Linked DNA regions of Saccharomyces cerevisiae S288C. The gene in region 1 interacts genetically with each later gene. Each region holds a gene or a part of one and is shown on either strand. Other genes may lie near its edges. The genes, in order: SDS24 and MFG1.

Region 1 (4,070 bases):
GATTTTGTCTGTTTACTACCACTTTTAGAGTTATCAAGGACAATTGCTATCATAAATAGAATTGTTAATCAAAATGATCTAAAACACCCCTAACGAAGGGCGGATAATTGAAAATAAAGCCAGAACATACCTTTTTGGTCCATTTCCAATCGTTTGAATATGGTCGTGGAGGTTAATGCTGTTCGTTTAAATCGTTTCAGAATGCAAAATTAACCGCATCAGTTTCTGCATTGTGTGTACATTCGCCTGACATATTTTGCTTTAATTTTCCACGACAAGAAAAAAAGATATACATATACGCGACAATAGCAAAAGTCAGAGTTTAATAAGTTGAATATACAAAATAGAATATATAAATGTTTTCAGAACAAGTATATACGCTTAAATGTCTACAAAATACTTAAAACCATATAAATGAACAATATTTTCTTTTAGTCATTGTAAAAGATTTTTTTTTTTGAGGGAGAGGGAAACAGCGGGAAAAGACAACGCTGCAAGCCTCACATGGCGATACTGCCTCTCTGTCTTCTTGCGGATTGCGGATCCACTTCTTTATTCCCTGTTTGTTTCCTTGCTAATAAGTTGATGATGTCTGTCAATGAGACCACACCGATCAACTTACCCGTTCTATATTCCTTTTCGAATAGGTTTGGTGTGTTTGTTGAGGAAGCGGGACTTGGTGGTGGGATCGCGATGGCCGAAGAACGTGGGGATGGTGGGTCTTCCATTGCTGTCATCAACGGAGAGTGGGAGTTGAGGGATGTTGAAGAGGATGACTTTGACATTGGAGTCGCACCATTAGCAGACGATTGAGCGGTGGCAGAAACTGCATTGGCTGCAGTATTAGCAGCTGTTAAATTTGTGGATGACGCCGAGGTTGACGACTCCGGCGGTTGTACGATCCATAGTCTATGAGACTTTGTAGCAACTAACTTGGCAAGAGTCCTTGCTAGTGAACTACTGGGGTATACGTGAAAAATGGGGAAAGAATCTTTACCCGTTTCTAATCCTCTGGAGTTTAAAATGACAGAAATGAAATGGCGACATGTCTTATGTAGTAAGGGGTATTGGGAGGTTCTTGTGACATGTTTTACGTCCGTTACCGATATGTTACCTAGCAAATTACCTTGTTTGTCGATGACTGCAATGGAAGAAATTCTTTCCACATGCATTTTATAAAGGCCCATGATTAAGGGCTCCTCGCCTTGAATAGAGATGACACGGGATTGTCTTGAAGTTGGCTTAGATTGAATATTGAGAACACCGATGTGCAAATCTTGTAATGAGGAGTTTAATAGAGGTTCTAAGCTTGTAAAAGATCTAGCGTTGTCCCAAAGATACTTTATCAAACGACGTTGGGACAAAATACCTTTAACTTTGGTCATCTCTTCGTTTGTTATCGCTACACGATGGACACCCGAACCGAGAATCCCCATCACCGTGGACAAACTCTCATTCTCCGGCAGCTTATAGAACGGATTCTTAGGAGTTAGTTTCACCATTTCGCCCACTGGTACGGGTTTTCCATTCTGGCAATCTGCAGTAAGCTGTTTGTTGCTGACGGTGATTTTATTCAAAACCAGCAAAAGGTACGAATTAAGGTCATTGTAGTCGAAAGTAAAACAGTTCATGTCGCCGGGGAAAGATTCCACGGGAATAGAGTTTAGATGATACTTGATCAAAGTGTTGAATGCCTCCTCTACCGATATGGAACCTGGAACAAAAATAAGCTTATTCTGTTCGATCAATTGCGACAACGGTATGTGTTGCCATTTTTGGGCGTGCACACATGACAGACACTGCGATGGCGTCTGGGTCATAGGAACAGCTGATAGTTTGAATTGAGGCTTTTCATCGCGCAAGGGGGCGGGTGTAGCAGCACAACCTGGACCAGGCGCTGCCGCTGTTGCTGTTGGCGGCGTGGACTCTTCTGGTTGTTCCTTGTCGTCTGTATCGTTCACTTGAACGTGGGGCAGCAATGGCGGAGTAGACAGCATCTCCACAATGGATGCATGTCTAGAAGTTGGAAGGTTGTTGGAAGAATTGCTTTGGCTTGGAGGGAACGTGTTCGAAGTAGAAGCCATGTTGTGTGAAGGAAGAAACGGTAATTGTTCTATAAGTGTTTATAGTTATTATAGTTGGGTTGTGTGCCTGATCTTGCCTGATAAGATAGAAGAAAAGTTGATCTGAACAGGCATTGTTGTTCGTTCTCCAACCCCTATATATGCGAAATATATACAAAATCCCAGTAGATTTTCTCTACACAATAGAAAGGACGCGCCCCTTAAAAGAGGAGGCCCTGTCGCTCAAGACGAGCAGTACTCGCTAAGCAACCGTTCTCTGGGAGGGAACTGCAAGGAACAGTTCTGTTCTTGAAACATGACCTTGAAAAGATCCAGCAGACGTTTTACGTCGATGTTGTGGCAGTGCTGAATGCCGAAGAGGTCTGTGCAGCGTCTGGCCCAATCCATGCGGTACTTGACATCCTTGTCGTCTGGTGCCAGCAGCCTAATTCCTCTTCTCAGCTCACCTAGTTTGACGACAGCGTCCTCCAGCGCCAGATCCCCCATTTGTGTGAATAAGTTACGGATCTCATCTCTTACTAGAGCGCCAAAGCGCGGAGAAAGGCCGTTGGTAGAGATCAGAATCTGTAGACGGTCTCCTATCTCCAGGTTGGCGCCGAAATAAAAGTCACAGAGATCAGGTTTGTCCGCCACATTGACCAGCTGCTGCTTACCGAATCTTTCCTTACAAAGGTGATATATTCTTGCGCTTTCAGGGTGGTCGGGTATACAGGTCATTATTATGTACCACGCGTCGTTCTCGTCTTCTAGGTCGAGGTATTCGTCTTTGAAGTCACTGCGGATGTACTCGTAAATTTCATTCTTCGTGGGGTCCCAGTTCGGATTGATAAAGCGTTTAGCGTCTTCTCTGTAGTCGGGCTGATCCTCGTTCTGGATGAATTTTCCAAACTTCGGAATAATGGATTTGTGTAGGTCAGGAGATACTAAAGTCAGCTTGCAACCTGTAGGTATCAGCTTATATAACCTTGTCAAGCCGACTTCTCCGCCTCCGATTAGTAGTATTTTCTTGTCTTTTAATTGATGGGCTAGCTGTAGCGATTTGACCATTTTTTATCCTATTATACACTCTCTTATTTTGCACACTTCATGAACAATGTATGGCAAAAATGTCTGGCACAGCCTTTTATTGAAGTAAATGTATATATATATATATGTGTGTGTGTGTGTCCATCATTTACATGCTACTGCCCGTAGTCATCGGACTTTGTAGCGATTTTCACATTTTTTTTCCGTCAGCATGGCTATTATAACACGTGAAATTATGACGCCAGCTTTTCGCATATATAGTTAATATAAAACACTTTGAAACGGAACTGTTTGAGTAAATAAATGTACTTAGATAGATAAAAATAGATAGGTAGTATAGAGGAAAAACAAATTTGATTAGAATTATGGATCGACAATTGACTAGGTTGTAACTGAAATGGCATTAATAGAAGAAACGTAAGAACGTAGAGACGCAGATAAAACTGCGGACAAGATTAAAATTTTCTTTTTTTGTCTTTTGTAATCAATGTAGAAGAGAAGGATGAATTGGCGGAACATTGTTCCTATTAGGATGCTTGTTCATGATGCTCGATTTCGAATTATTGGAATTCGGGGCTATATTTAAGGGAGGAGTCATCATCCTGGACACGTCATACATATTTGCACCGTTTCCCATTCCGTATGGTACTGGATTTACGTTCATGTTCATGTTCATGTTAGAATTCATGATCATGTTTGTGTTAGGGTTTGTGTTCATGCTTGAGGCCGTTTTATTGCTGTTGCCATTGGGCAGTTGCATAGAAATTGACATCGCGTTCCCAAATTGAGGTAAGTTATTAGTAGCATTGGAGAATTGGTTGCCCGTCGGATGGAGCGAGTATGAGGGACTTGAATATTGGTGTGGGTACAGTGCACCGTCTTCTTGCATATACGGGACATTAGATCTCTGCAGATTAACGAGGTCGCTATGGCTGCCATTCTTGTTCCTGTGATAATCGT
Region 2 (4,092 bases), on another chromosome or scaffold:
TTGTAGTTTTGTTTTGTTTTGCAGAAACACAAAGCGACGTATAATAAAAACTGAAGTTCGCTATCCAAATGTAACCACTTTAGTTCTTAGGAGACATGGTGGAGTCAACAGCATGGTAAATGACAATTAAAGTCATCATCACAATACCGAAGGTGATGGCCAAGGAGTTCAGCTGTTCATCAGAGATCATCTTTTGCTTGCTCTGTACTGGGTTTCTCTACTGACTTGCAAGTGTAATTGTCGTGTTTGTTTCGAAATACTCTTTATTTATTAAGCTTTTATGAGAATCCGAGACTTTTCCAAATTTGGTCCATTACCCGGGGGTTAATATATCTTGAATAAACCATTGTATTATATCTCACTATATAGTAATTGTACAGTTTTGTCACTACTATAATCTATGCCACACCTTGCGGTTGCTGCTACCATGTCACATTCCCATTCTGCTAGATTCATGCAATTCTCTTAATATTTCAGTGGGTGACGTTAGGTAATTACCTTCTTTAAAACTTCATCTTCTTTTTTGTCATGTCTTTGTTAATATCATTCACATCACTTGTTGGAAGCTCTTCATTGCTTGTATTGGAGTTGCCGTTTGGCCCCAACGTCGTGGTGCGAGGAGAGATACCGCTGTTGCGTCGCCTCTTTGCGTGCAAGGGCTCGCTTCCACTGTCCTTCTTGTCGGCGTCAATGTACGCACTTAGGGCGGTCACGGGACTATCAATGTTCTTTTCAATTTGAAACTTTCGAAGGTTTTTCAAAGTAGACATAACGGTACTTATTTGCATGACTCTCATCAACCCTTCTTGAGTGCCAAACACAGAGACGTTTCTGAATACGTCAAAATATGATCTCAGCTGAGTGATGGCCTCAAAATTCGGAGGAACATTCGTAGCATTATTTTCTGCAAAAGAATTCCCTTGCTCTTTGACATCTTCTTGTTTCAATTTACGGAATATTTGTTCAATTTCTGTAGACTTTGTGTCATCACTCAAAAGCCGTTCCACTGCATTCCATTCAATATCAGGGACAAAACTATGCATAGATACGTCCAGCCAATTAATTTTCAAGTCCAAATCGAAAGCACCTTTCATTTGGGAAAAATGTGTAATATATGAACCATCAGGATAATAATAGACAAATGTGACACGAGGACAGTTGAAAAAAATCGTAGAATTACTTAGAACTTGTGTTTTCAATTGTAAAACCTTAACTTCCATTCTAACGATGCCAAATCTGCCTAATGTAGAGCAAATAACTGGGAACACTGGGATGATAAATTCGAATTCTCTATAATCTGTCATAGACTTTTTACTATACCTTATAACTGCATCAGGTGTAAAAATATCTGATATTAATTCTGTCCAGAATGAAAGCAGGCCAATCTTACCCATTGCCGTATTCACCTCATTTATTATTTCGTACAATTTCAACATCGCCAAATTAGATAAGTATTTTCTTACATGATACGGCACCCGTAACATAGATAAAGATGCCTGGGATGCAGACCGTGGTAACGGAGCAGCTGCCGTTGCTGCTGTAGCCATGGGATGGGGAAAGGATGCTACCGGCGTAAACATTGGCATAGACCCGCTGCCAGGGCCCCCAGTTGCATTCGTATTCTGCGCAGAGTTGTGAAAAGTTTGAGTCACTTGTGGAAGCTGGTTAAACACCTGCTGTTCTGATGAAGGCTGTGGAAATTGACCCCCCTGTGGTTGACCTGGAAATGGCACTTGTTGTGGATAAACCGTGGGCGGTATATTCTGCTGCGCGGTGGGAGGAAAGTTAATATTACCATTTGGGTACGGTGGTGTGTTATTATTCACAATGTAAGGCATCGGCACAGCTTGAGGAGGCGGTTGCGGTGGGCCTTGGTACATATTGCAGATAATCTTTGCTTTTCCTTCTGCCCCATGAACAGTGTCAAGTGTTGTCTTTATTGCTCCATAGTTAATATTTTTAGTTCAGGCGGGAAGCCCCACAAGATGAGAAAAGAAATCCGAGAGGCTTAAACAATACTATATGGGGCAAAGTTCTGCTCTATATAAAGAGAGGCGCATTTGCAAGAAATAGTTAAGAACTTTCCATAAATTGGTCAGATATAAATCAATTTATCGTGCTCAAATATACTATTCAGTTTCTCAGATATAGGTTGCACAAATTGGCAAAGTTCTACAAGAGTCATTCATACATCCCCTGATGAGTAAGATACTATTCTGCAAATCTAAAGTGTTCTTACACCCAACAAGCGATGCTAGAGATAATATTGCTGGTTTCCTGCTACTCACATTGGAAGCGAATAAGCTATCCCACCAAGCAATTCTCCAATATATCCCAGAATCTGGCTTATCCACATTAGAGATATCAAAACTACTAAAACATGAAGCTAAAGTGGGCACATGTCCAACTTCTACACCATTTGTTATTGAAAATTCAATAAACTTTAGTAACCTGGTCAATACTTCTTTAGGTCAAGCTTTCGAAATTTCTCTCTCACAAATATACTGCATCCAATTTAGGCCTCCTAGTCCAAATGGTTGGTATGTCGGATCTCTGGTAATATATCCCTTGACAGAACAGTTTACGGGCTTTCAACCTCCTGTCTTGTTCTTTCATGACCAACTCTGCCCATCAACTACGGACAAGTTAAAAAGACTACGCAAATCCATGAACCCATTTGATGACTCGGACGAATTGTATTGGGGTGGCGTAGATTTGAGAAACAAAATCAACGAACTGATGGAACTCAAGAAATCAAACTTAGAGCCAGAGTTTTGGTTAGTAAATCCCTCTTTGAATGATTTGAGAAATTTCGTTTCCAAGGATCTATTGGAAAGTTATAACAATTCGAAGAAAGATACAACTGAACTCGCTACCGCCGGTGTGAAACTAAACGAGAAATTCCAAGAATGGAAATGGAACGTAATGAGCAAGATAGCAGACGTGACTACCAAGTCTACCAATTTTATCGATAGTTGGCTGACTAACAACTCACCCATACAAAAATCACAAATCGACAATGAATACTTGCAAAAGCTTCTGAACAATGAGAAGGTTAAACAAATTGAACAGGATTATGACTCTGCAAGAGTGTATTTGGCAAACTGGTCATTAGGAGTAAAACAGGAAGCTGAGAGGTATCAAAAGCAGAACAAACTCTTTGATTCGTATAGGAATAACATTTTCAACGACCTGAATCTAACTGATGAATTAAGTGATACTGAAATAAATAATGCTCTGCAAAGACAATTTCCTTTAACGGAAGCGAAATGGAATTCGCTATGGGATGAGAACGATGGGAGGCTGAGGGTCACGGTAAACGAAGTTAAGGATTTCATATTTCATGGTGGGTTAGAAAATGACAGTTTGCGAGGGAAAGTTTGGGGTTTTCTCTTAGAAATATATCCGTGGGATTCTTCTCAAGACGAGAGGGTACAAATCGATCAAACTTTAGCCGCGGAATACGATCAATTGAAACTAACCTGGTCAAAAGATTTTTTACAATTTGACGATGAAGATGAAGAGGAATATTGGAACGATCAATTATTCAGAATATCTAAAGATGTGAGACGCTGTGATAGAAACTTGGAGATATTTCAATACAATACCATCGATGGATTACCACCACCGCCACAACAACTCCCAGCAAATGAAAATAACAGTACCAGCCCCGAATCCGCTAATGACGAGAGCGATGATGCAGACGATGGAGTCAGGAACCCACATTTGATACATTTACAAAACATTCTTATCACTTATAATGTCTACAACACAAACTTAGGCTACGTGCAGGGGATGACCGATCTTTTATCGCCTATTTATGTCATCATGAAGGAAGAATGGAAAACGTTTTGGTGTTTTACGCACTTCATGGACATTATGGAAAGAAATTTTCTAAGAGACCAGAGTGGCATCCATGAACAAATGTTAACTCTCGTGGAATTGGTACAATTAATGCTACCCGAATTGAGCGAACATTTAAACAAGTGTGATTCAGGAAACTTGTTCTTTTGCTTTCGAATGCTTCTAGTATGGTTCAAGAGAGAATTTGAAATGGAAGATATTATGCACATTTGGGAGAATTTCTGGACT

Evidence for each region.
Region 2: mutations in SDS24 (region 1) and MFG1 together harm fitness more than expected from each alone (negative genetic interaction), as found in Saccharomyces cerevisiae (2 studies listed by BioGRID).

Annotation. Positions count from the first base shown.
Region 1 is NC_001134.8:649,429-653,498, reverse strand, and holds SDS24 (Sds24p), read right to left. Parts: upstream 2,085-4,070; coding exon 501-2,084; downstream 1-500. Other genes in the region: HPC2 (Hpc2p), read right to left, coding at 1-46, 131-143; bifunctional precorrin-2 dehydrogenase/sirohydrochlorin ferrochelatase MET8, read right to left, coding at 2,307-3,131; NGR1 (Ngr1p), read right to left, coding at 3,595-4,070. UniProt on the Saccharomyces cerevisiae protein: Involved in DNA replication and cell separation during budding.
Region 2 is NC_001136.10:34,585-38,676, reverse strand, and holds MFG1 (Mfg1p), read right to left. Parts: upstream 1,881-4,092; coding exon 504-1,880; downstream 1-503. Other genes in the region: olichyl-diphosphooligosaccharide--protein glycotransferase OST4, read right to left, coding at 80-190; GTPase-activating protein GYP7, read left to right, coding at 2,200-4,092. UniProt on the Saccharomyces cerevisiae protein: Transcriptional regulator with a general role in all morphogenetically distinct forms of filamentous growth, namely haploid invasive growth, biofilm formation, and diploid pseudohyphal growth.